2 linked regions of the Canis lupus familiaris genome follow. The protein of the gene in region 1 purifies or fractionates together with the protein of each later gene. This does not show direct contact. Links are inferred from orthologs where the notes say so. Each region holds a gene or a part of one and is shown on either strand. Other genes may lie near its edges.

Region 1 (4,687 bases):
CAGGCTCATGGGTCAGGGTCCAGGGTTCTTCCAGGGTTCCTGGAAGGCCAGTGTGGCTGGGTACTGACTGCAAATTGTGTGTTCTTCCAACCCCACTCCCTCAGGGGCTTTAGCAGCCCGCCTGCGTTCCAGGCATGAAGTCCCAGGAGAGGAGCCTCTCTTTGCTTCTGGGCGGAGGAACAAAGGCACACTGCCTGGTATAGGGTGTGTGTTTGTGTGTGGCTGTCGAGGTGGGTGTGGTGCAAGGAGAAAGTTACTGGCCCTTCCTCCAGGCTCAAGATTTGTGCCCCAGTTGGCACCCGGGTTCTAGCGGATTCTAGCTGGGATGCTCATGCCCTCCGCCTGCTGTCGGCTGGCAAGAAATGTGCACGGGGCAGATGGGGCGGATTCCCACTGTCCTGTGGGACCCACATCCTCCCTTGCAGGGGCTTTCCCCAGCCGCAAACCCTGGTTTGAGTCCGTGGTCCCCGGGCCCCACCTGCTGCGGCGCAGGGCTGTCTCCACGTTGTGCCCTCGCTGCTTGCGGTAGAAGTCGATGAAGGAGAAAGGCAGGGAGATGTTGAGCGCCCCTGCACGGTGCGGGCCTGCCGTGCGTTTGCGGGCCTCGAAGGCGATGGTCAGATCCACCCAGGCTGCCGGCCGTTGCCTTTTGAAGGTGGTGATGAAATCCTCGCCGAAGATGCGGCCCAGCAGCTGCTCAAAGGCCAGGTCCACGCCCACCGCGCCATAGGGGCCGCCTGGGGTCGGGCAGGGGAGAAAGGGGACGTCGGCGCAGACTCCGCCGCCAGAGGGCGGTGGCAGGGCCCGCGAGCCCTGGGTACCCAGCGTGCTGCCTGGCTGGCTACTTACTCACCGGATGCCTTGTAGAGTTCCTTGAGGGTGCCATGTGGCTGCTCCAGCTGGTGCACCGTCAGGTCCACCGTGCCTCCTCCGCAGTCTGCCACCACGTAGCGGTCTCCTGTGGCGGCGAGCGTGAGCACACACTCCTGGTCTGCTTTGCACCCTCAGCTCTGCTCCCCTTCCAGATTCACCCAGCCCCCAGCCCTGCCCCACACCAGAGACCCTTGCCTGCGGGGAGGATGGGAGTAGGAGTGGCTGTAAGGGGCTTCAGGTAGTTGAAACTTAGGCCACCGGGAAGGGGCGCAAGGGTTTTGGGGAAAATGTTTCCAGGACTCTATCAGCAGAGAATCCCCCGGAGAAGTGAGAGTTAGGGGTGAGGCTGAGTGACATGGAGGTGCAGGTGACCATGGGAAGACTACCAGGTTAGGTGCAGCTGATGGAGGAGTAGGGGCAGGGTTTCTAGGGTCTGGAACCCACTTCAAGAAGGTTCCCTTGCCCCTACGGTTCCCCTCAGGGCCCAAGAAACATCCCTCTGTCCCCCCACCTGCTTGCATCTCTGCCCACAGCTCTCCAACACCAGACTCCACCAGGAATGTACGGCTGTGGCGGGACTTGCGCAGCTGCTCGCGGGCTGGGGTTGGGGGGGAGGCAGGGAGGGACAGCAGGACAGTGGGGTTAGAGGGAGGTGCCTCAGCTACCAATCTTGACCCCCATCCTCCCACCAGTACCCTCCATGAGTATCTGGACCAGCCAGTTCTCCTGAAACTCCTGCTCTACTACTTCTAACTAGGAGAAGGCAATGTTGAACCTCAGAGGGTCCAGAAAAACCTGATGGGGTAACCAACAGCTGAGGGGAAGTTTTTCTGGCTACAGTACATTCCCTTAACGCTGGCAGGCTTGAGGCATGGCAAAATCAGAGTTGGGACAGTTTGGAGGACCTGTGCGTAGCTGGGGGAGGTGGGGAGAGGTTGGTCCTGGGTGATTCAGGGGAGCCTAGCGTTAGGGACCTCTCCTACTTACAGGAGATGGTATCTGGGAGAGTGACTAAGATTGACCATAGCAGTCTCAGGGCCCAGTCCAGGGACACTGGAGCTGGAGCTTGGTAGCAGGAGCTCAAGGCTATTGTGGGGGAAGGGGAATGACAGCTGATGTGCCAGGATGGGAGAGGCGGCTGATTCAGTGGCTATTTAAGACAAAACCCTTAGAGACCACCTTTGGCTCAGAATGGGAGCTGACGGGATCCCTGGGTGGTGCAGCGGTTTGGCGCCTGCCTTTGGCCCAGGGCGCGATCCTGGAGACCCGGGATCGAATCCCACATCGGGCTCCCGGTGCATGGAGCCTGCTTCTCCCTCTGCCTGTGTCTCTGCCTCTCTCTCTCTCTCTCTCTCTCTCTCTCTCTCTCTCTCTCTGTGTGACTATCATGAATAAATAAATTAAAAAAAAAATCTTAAAAAAAAAAAAAAAAAGAATGGGAGCTGACTTCCTCATTGTCAGTACCTGAGCACCTCCCCTCAGGACAGTTTGTTTCCCCCTACCCTCAGATTCAGGATGGGCGCTGAGTCCTACCCTCCTCAGACAATGATCCTCCAGGGCAACATGAAATCTCTGTCCTCAGATTGGGCTTCCCCAGGTCAGGGCTGTGCCTCCTCCCTCAGACTGAATTGCACCAGAGATGTTTCTGCCCTCTCAGATTGGGCTGGAGACGGGGGAGGAGGGGTTATCTCCTCTTTATGTTGGACATGGCCAAGCCTCTGGCCTCAGTGACCCTCCAACCCTCCAAGGGCAAATGTAATACCATTGGGTAGTGCCCCTGGGGGAAGCTCACCCTGCCGGAAGCTGGAATCGATGGAGCGACGCTCACCCAGGCGTCCACTGCCTGGAGCCCGGCTGCTTAGGTCCAAGAGCTGGTGTAGACGCAGCTTGCGGCAGTAGACAGAGGCAGCCTCTGGCTCCAGGGCGATGAGTAGTTGCTCTGCATCCTCCCTGGACACCAGGCCAGCCTGGGGAGAGGTGGTGGGCAGGGCCAGGGAGCTCTATGGGTCAAGTGTCACACCTAAGCTGGCACCTCTGGGCAGGCAACCAGGGCCTGTGGGGCTCCCACCACCTCTCCATCACACCCCACCCATGGTGGGCCTCTCGCCGCCCCCTCCCCCCAGTGCTGCACACATGTGGAACTGCCTCCCAGCCACCCTGTGACCAGGCTGGGGAGTGGCACCGCCACTGCCAGGAATGCCATGGGGTTACCCAGGAGGAAGAGACCCTAGACAGAGTGAGAAACCTAGAGCACCTGGGCTCTGTCCCTCCAAGCTGCCTAAGGTGGCCCAGGCTGCAGCAAGGTCCCCTTCACATGTGCAGGGCTGGCCAGCTGAGCACCAACTGAAGTGTTAGCCCAGACTCTAGCACAGTGTGTATGGGGGTGTAATGGCCAGACCCCCAATTAGAGGAGATGGTATGTGTGGGGGGTCCCCTTTGGCTCCCTGAACCTTTGTCCTTCATGTCCTTCACCAGGCTGGTTGGCAGAGAATACCCATAGGCCTCCTCACTCCCAGAAGAACTTGCTTCCCCAGAGAATCAGATACAGGCACCAAGAGACAACAGTAAAATTCCAGGTGCCAGGACAGGTCAGTTGGGGGGAGAAAAACACTCGGGATCTTCTGCTTCCTGTATCAGGACAGGGGATCCCTGTGGGAAGTACTCTACAGTTTTGTGGGATTCCCTGGATTCTGACTGGGTGGGGGTTGGGGATGGGTGGGTATCTAGACTTCCTGTCCAGGGTCAGCCCTTCCTGAACTGGCAGCCATGGAACAGTGTGGGAGGAACCAGGGTGGATAAACCGGCAGGGTGGGGGGCAGTGCTTATCCTGGCTGGGCACAGCCTTGCTTTCATCCTGGTCTCTGCAGTAGGGATGCCCACTACCTCAGGGTGAGCTCCTATAAGTGCAGGCACACACAGATCTGACACCTGGAGCATACCTGGCCCATGGTGGGTGGGGGTTGGGAGCTCTGATATCTTCCAGGGGGTGCACTGGCAGGCCTTTTGGAGGTCCTAGGATGTCCCCCAAGGACCAAACAATGGGTCTTGCTCTGGGAGGTTGTGCTTCCTTACTTCCTCACTCCATCTCACTGGAGGTAGGGGGACTTGACTTGTCCACCCTTCCCCCCATTCTCCAGACCTTTGGGCATCTCTTATGGTAGGAAGCCCAGCTTTGGTCCAAATCACTTTCCTTCATCGTCTCATAGTCCTGTGTCCCTTGCTCAAGAAATTACAGTGGTTGAGGCATGGTGGTGGAGTCCCTGACAATACTGGTGCTGGCTGAGGTGGAGGAAACCATCTCACTTGGAGAAGTTTCCCACACACCCCCCAGCAACCAAGACAGACTGATGGATATACAGAAAGCCAGGTGCCTTGCCTCACTGTGGTCAACTGCTGGGTACAGTTCTCCCTCTAGCACTCTCCATGGGACCTGGCTGAGGCTAGACTCCAGTTGAGACCACATTCCTGCTCGGGTCTTTATCCTGTCCATTTCCCTCATTCCTTTCTCCTGAGAGCCCTTCTTCAATATACCACGTGCACAAGAGTCCCTGTCTTGGGCTCTGCTTCTAGGGAACCTGACTTAAGACACCGGCTAAGCTGGCTTGGCTGTGCCTCTTGTCCCCCTGCTCTCTGTTCCTGCAGACTCACACCCTCTCCTGGGGGCAACAACCATCCAGTGTGCTCAGGAGGAGAAGGCCAGAGGTCTTTACACAATGACTGGTCCCAAGGGTGGTGGGTAAAGGAGGGCCTGGGGTCTCCCTGGAGCCCTCCCCAGTGACACCCCCTGCTTTGCTTGCCCGTCCTCACCAGGTAG
Region 2 (4,687 bases), on another chromosome or scaffold:
GTTAAAATAAGGATATTTATTTATTCAGCTGTTCATCCAACGTGCATTTTTTAAGCTTCCACACGTACCAGGCCCTGCAGTGAGGATGACACACAGGGGCCTGCCTTTGCGGCATTATAGTCCAGTGCAGGGGACCAGATGGGGAACAAGCCCACAAGTGCCGGAGGACATGTCGGAGAGGAAGGGGCAAGAGGCCAGTGTGTGCGGACCCGAGAGGGGAGGGAGACGTCCACAGACCCTTCATGTTTAGCCAGTGGGTGACAGGATCATGTTATAGATGCTGTGCCCTCAGGGTGGCTTCTCTCTCCAGGTACAATGCTGTCACTGGGGAATGGCTGGAAGATGAAGTTCTGATCAAGATGGCATCTCAGGTGAGCCATCCCCAGCCCAGTGAGCGCAGAGCTGAGTGGGCATTCTTCCTGAATAGACTTCTATTCCTGTTCCCTCCCCTTCACACTCACTTAATTGTTTTAACTAAAGGGCATTCTTTATATTATTGTGTATTTATTTTTTAAGATTTTATTTATTTATTTGAGAAAGAGACAGAGATAATGAGAGATAGTAAGAGACAGCAGGAATGGGGAGGAGAGGGAGAAGCAGCCTCCCCACAGAGCAGGGAGCCCAATGCAAGGCTCGATCCCAGGACCCTGGGACTATGACCTGAGCCGAAGACAGATGCTTTAACCACTAAGCCACCCAGGCACCCCTGTTTTATTTGTTATAATAATTTTATTGAGATATAATTCATGTACCATACAACATACCTATCTACACTGTATGGGTTCAGTGGTTTTTGGGTTTAGAGTTGTACAACCATCACCATGATCAATATAGAACATTTCACCGTTTCTAAAAGAAATGTCATCCTTACCCACCAGTAGCCAACTACCAATCCCCAGATCTCCCCCAGCCCTAGACAACCACTAATCTAACCCGTCTCTGTAGGTTTACCTATTCTGGACATTTTATGTATTTATCATACATCAGAAGTTGAACATACCTTGGCACTCTTGTCAAAAATCCATTGACGTAGGCATCCGGTAGTTCACTTGGTTAAGCATCTGCCTTCGGCTTAGGTCATGATGCCATATCCACCTCCATGCTTAGCGGAGAGTCTGCTTTTCCCTTTCCCTCTGCTGCTCCCTCTGCTCCTGCTCGCTGTCTCTCTCTCTCTCTCTCAAAATAAATAAAATCTTTAAAAATATACCAGTTGGCTATAAATGCATATATCAGTTTTCAAAAATTGCGGTCATCACTTAAACCTGAGTCATAAAAGGATTCAGTGGCTTGTAGCCATCCTTTTGGAAAAAAAAAAAAAAAAAGAAAGAAAGAAATAGACTAGAAAATGGAGCACCTCCTGCATTGTCAGAGGCGGATGGTTTTGCAAAACTTTTTTCTCATGTATCATACACTCCAAAAAGGGTGCGGCTTGATGAACTTCATAAAGTGAACACTCTGTGTAACCAGTGGCCCCCAAAAGTCCCCCTCCACTATGGTCACTACTCCCTTACCCCTGGGGGAAGCACCAACCCGGAATCTATTGCCCTGGATTAGTTTTGCCTATTTGTGTACTTCCTATAAATGGAGCCATGCCGTATGTATACTTTTGAGTATGGCTGCTTCTCCTCAGCATTTCGTCTGTCACATTCATACTTGTTTTTGCTAGCCCTATAGTTGATAGAATAATAAAGAATAATAGAAGAGAACAACAGAATATATTCATTCTCGTTGGTGTGTAGTATTCCATCAAGTGAGTAGACCTAATTGATTTATCCATTATACTGTTGGAGGACATTCAAGTTGTTTCTACTTTTTCTTTTTCTTTTTTTTTTTTTTTAAGATTTTATTTATTTATTGGAGAGAGAGAGAGAACCAGGGGAGGGGCAGAGGGAGAGGGACAAGCAGACTCTGCACTGAGCCTGGAGCTGGACATGGGGCTCGATTCCACAACCCTGACACCATGACCTGAGCTAAAATCAAGAGTTGGATGCTTAACTGACTGAGCCACCCAGGTGCCCCTATGCTGTTTTTCTGTTATAGAAAACAGAAAAGCAGAGCTTTTCTGACATTCTTTGACATTCACTGTTACCCCTATAACACCTTCACCCCCTGAGGCCTCTTCCCCTCAGCCACGGTGCAGGGAGGGTGGTCTTGTCATCCCTGAAGCCTCCAGGCTAGAAGTTTGCTCAGGCTTTAGAGCTGAGGTGAAGGAGGGAGGGCCCAGGAATTTTAGGATTGAGATGAGGTCCAGGCACCGATTTGGTGGGTGATGTCCAAGTAGGGGAGTCTTCCTACCTCAGGACTGCTTCTGGGTAGGACATGGAGACTGATAATCGTCTGTGTGGTGTCTTTCAGCCCTTCGGCCGTGGAGCAATGAGGGAGTGCTTCAGGACGTAAGTGACTCAGCCTGGCTCTCAGGGCCCTGCCCAGACTCTCTCAGGCTCCCAAGAGTAGGGGCATTGCAACATTTCTGGCTAAGAAGCTGAGACAGCAGCCTCTACTTTTTGTAGGCCAAGCTTCTATCTGGTCTCCTTTGGACCACACATTTGCCCTGGCTGTGGGGATGGGCTCGGGGAGAACATGGGAGTATCCCATTGACCTCTGCTCTGGTGTTTGGAGGCCAAAAGATGTGGGAAAAGAGACCTTTAGCTATGTCCCTTAAGCCTCTTCCCAGCTCTTTGAAGGATACAGTGGGTCAGGCTGGGTCCCTGATGAACCCAAGTGCCCAGGCTGCTGAAGATCCTCTGCTGCTTCCCCCAAACCCCAGAAAGAAGCTCTCCAACTTTCTGCACACTCAGCAGTGGAAAGGAGCCTCCAACTACGTGGCAAAGCGGTACATTGAGTCTGTGGACAGGGATGTGTACTTTGAGGATGTGCGTCTACAGATGGAGGCCAAGCTCTGGGGAGAGGAGTATAATCGACACAAGCCCCCCAAGCAGGTGCGTGGTGCCCCTTCCTGCCACCTTCCCACACAGGGCCAGGGACTGGAGACAAGGGCAACAGTGGTTCCAGTCACAGTTTCCCTTCACGGTCTTAATAATACCTAGTAACAACCATCCTCTATTGAGCATGATGGGCCAAACACACTCTGTGCAAAGAGTCCTTTCTTCCTAAAAACAGAGCTCTGAGGCTGTTTGAGGTTAGGATGTTTTTATACCATTTACAGATGAGATCTGTTAGGATTTTTGTTTGCAGATGTTAAAAACCCACTCAAGTGGGCTCAATACTAAAAAGGAATTTATTGCCTCATGTAACTGATACATAGGGCTGGCCACAGGTATGGACAGATCCAGGACCCAACAGGATGTTGAGAATCTTCCCCCATCTCTAGCTGAGGTGTTCCTCTGTGTGGCATCACTCAGGCAGTTTCTCCACTTGTAGTGGTGTGTCGACCACTGGCACCTGCAGGCTCACTTTCTGTCTTCTCAGAAACCTTGGTGGCATGACAATACCTGTTTTCCCAGAAGTTCCAATGAAAGTCTCAGAACTGGGTTTCATTGGCTCTGACTACGTCAGGTGCCTGTTGCTGAGCCAATCACAATAGCCAGGGGAGGGAATATGCAGATTGGGTAGGCCTGAGCCATGTGCTCACCCTTAGAGGCAGCAGTGTGGGTCCTTCCCCCAGACTATGTAGCCTGAAATTGGTGGCTCCCAAGAAAAAGCAGAAGGAGGGAAGGATGGATAGCATGTCTGCCCTCTGGGAGCCCCAGGTTCAAAGGGGTTAAGTGACCTGCCTGTTTGGGAGCCAGGGTTCAAATCCAGGCATTCCAGGCCCCTGCCCAGTTGGCTCCTTCACTTGAGTCCCCAGGTTGTTTAGTGACCCTGGGGCAAGCAGAATTTCCTGTTGCTTGTAGGCATTTGAGAAACAGCACTCCTTGTCTCTGCCCTGGCCAAATTCATAGCTTAGCTCTCCCATTGTTTGAATACCTACTAGATAATAGGACACTGTCTCCTGGGCACCTCAGGAGAGCCACACTTCCAAGAATCCAGCAGAATTTATTGAGTACCTGCTGTTTGCACGGCTTTTGGTTAGGTACACTTGGGGTAGACACAAGAACCCACAGTCCCCACCCATGGGGTCTGTGACCTCCTCAGTAATTTGCTACATGCCGTTGGGCCTCCTATCTCTTCCTCCCTCAGCTTGTTCCTGCCTCAGGACCTTTGCCCTGGCTGTGCCCCTGGCCTGTATCATTGTCATTGCCTCTCTCCACCGCCCCAACCTTGCATGATTTGCTCCTTCTCATAGTTCAGGTCTCAGCTCATATGTCACCTTCTCAGCAAGGCCACCCCAGGCCATCCTAAATGGAGTAGCCCTTCTACTACTGTCCTCTGTCACGGCTGTCTGTCTATTCTAGTTTCTTTTGTTTCAAGCAGTTAGTGCTGTCCAAAGGAGACTTGTTCCTGTAGTTAATATTTTGGTTGCCTCTCTCCCCCAGGGGCAGGGATTTTATCTGTCTTGTTCACTCTATCACAGTGCCTAGGTGCTCAGTAAATAATGTGATTGGCTGAATTGAGGAAGGGAAAGGAATGTAGTTGTCCGAGGGGGAACCGGCCATCCCTCCATGGCTGCACACCTCCAGCTACCCCTCCCCCAGTGAGCCCACTGGCCAAGCAGGTGGCCCATCCATAGATTTCCTTGTAGGGATAGAGCCAGTATTGGGGGTAGGAACCTCTGAGAACCAGCTGC

What was found. Proteins that work in one complex are often made in the same cells at the same time.
Region 2: the proteins of HSPA12B (region 1) and EEF2K purify together in Homo sapiens (affinity purification with mass spectrometry; 3 studies listed by BioGRID and IntAct, with this or other methods). This does not show direct contact. The link is inferred for Canis lupus familiaris from reciprocal best matches to the Homo sapiens genes HSPA12B and EEF2K.

The regions. Positions count from the first base shown.
Region 1 is NC_049245.1:18,055,137-18,059,823, forward strand, and holds part of HSPA12B (heat shock 70 kDa protein 12B), read right to left. Parts: coding exon 4,681-4,687; intron 2,841-4,680; coding exon 2,666-2,840; intron 1,472-2,665; coding exon 1,385-1,471; intron 959-1,384; coding exon 854-958; intron 738-853; coding exon 479-737; intron 1-478.
Region 2 is NC_049227.1:23,623,697-23,628,383, reverse strand, and holds part of EEF2K (eukaryotic elongation factor 2 kinase), read left to right. Parts: intron 1-310; coding exon 311-371; intron 372-2,355; coding exon 2,356-2,393; intron 2,394-2,767; coding exon 2,768-2,939; intron 2,940-4,687. UniProt on the Homo sapiens protein: Threonine kinase that regulates protein synthesis by controlling the rate of peptide chain elongation.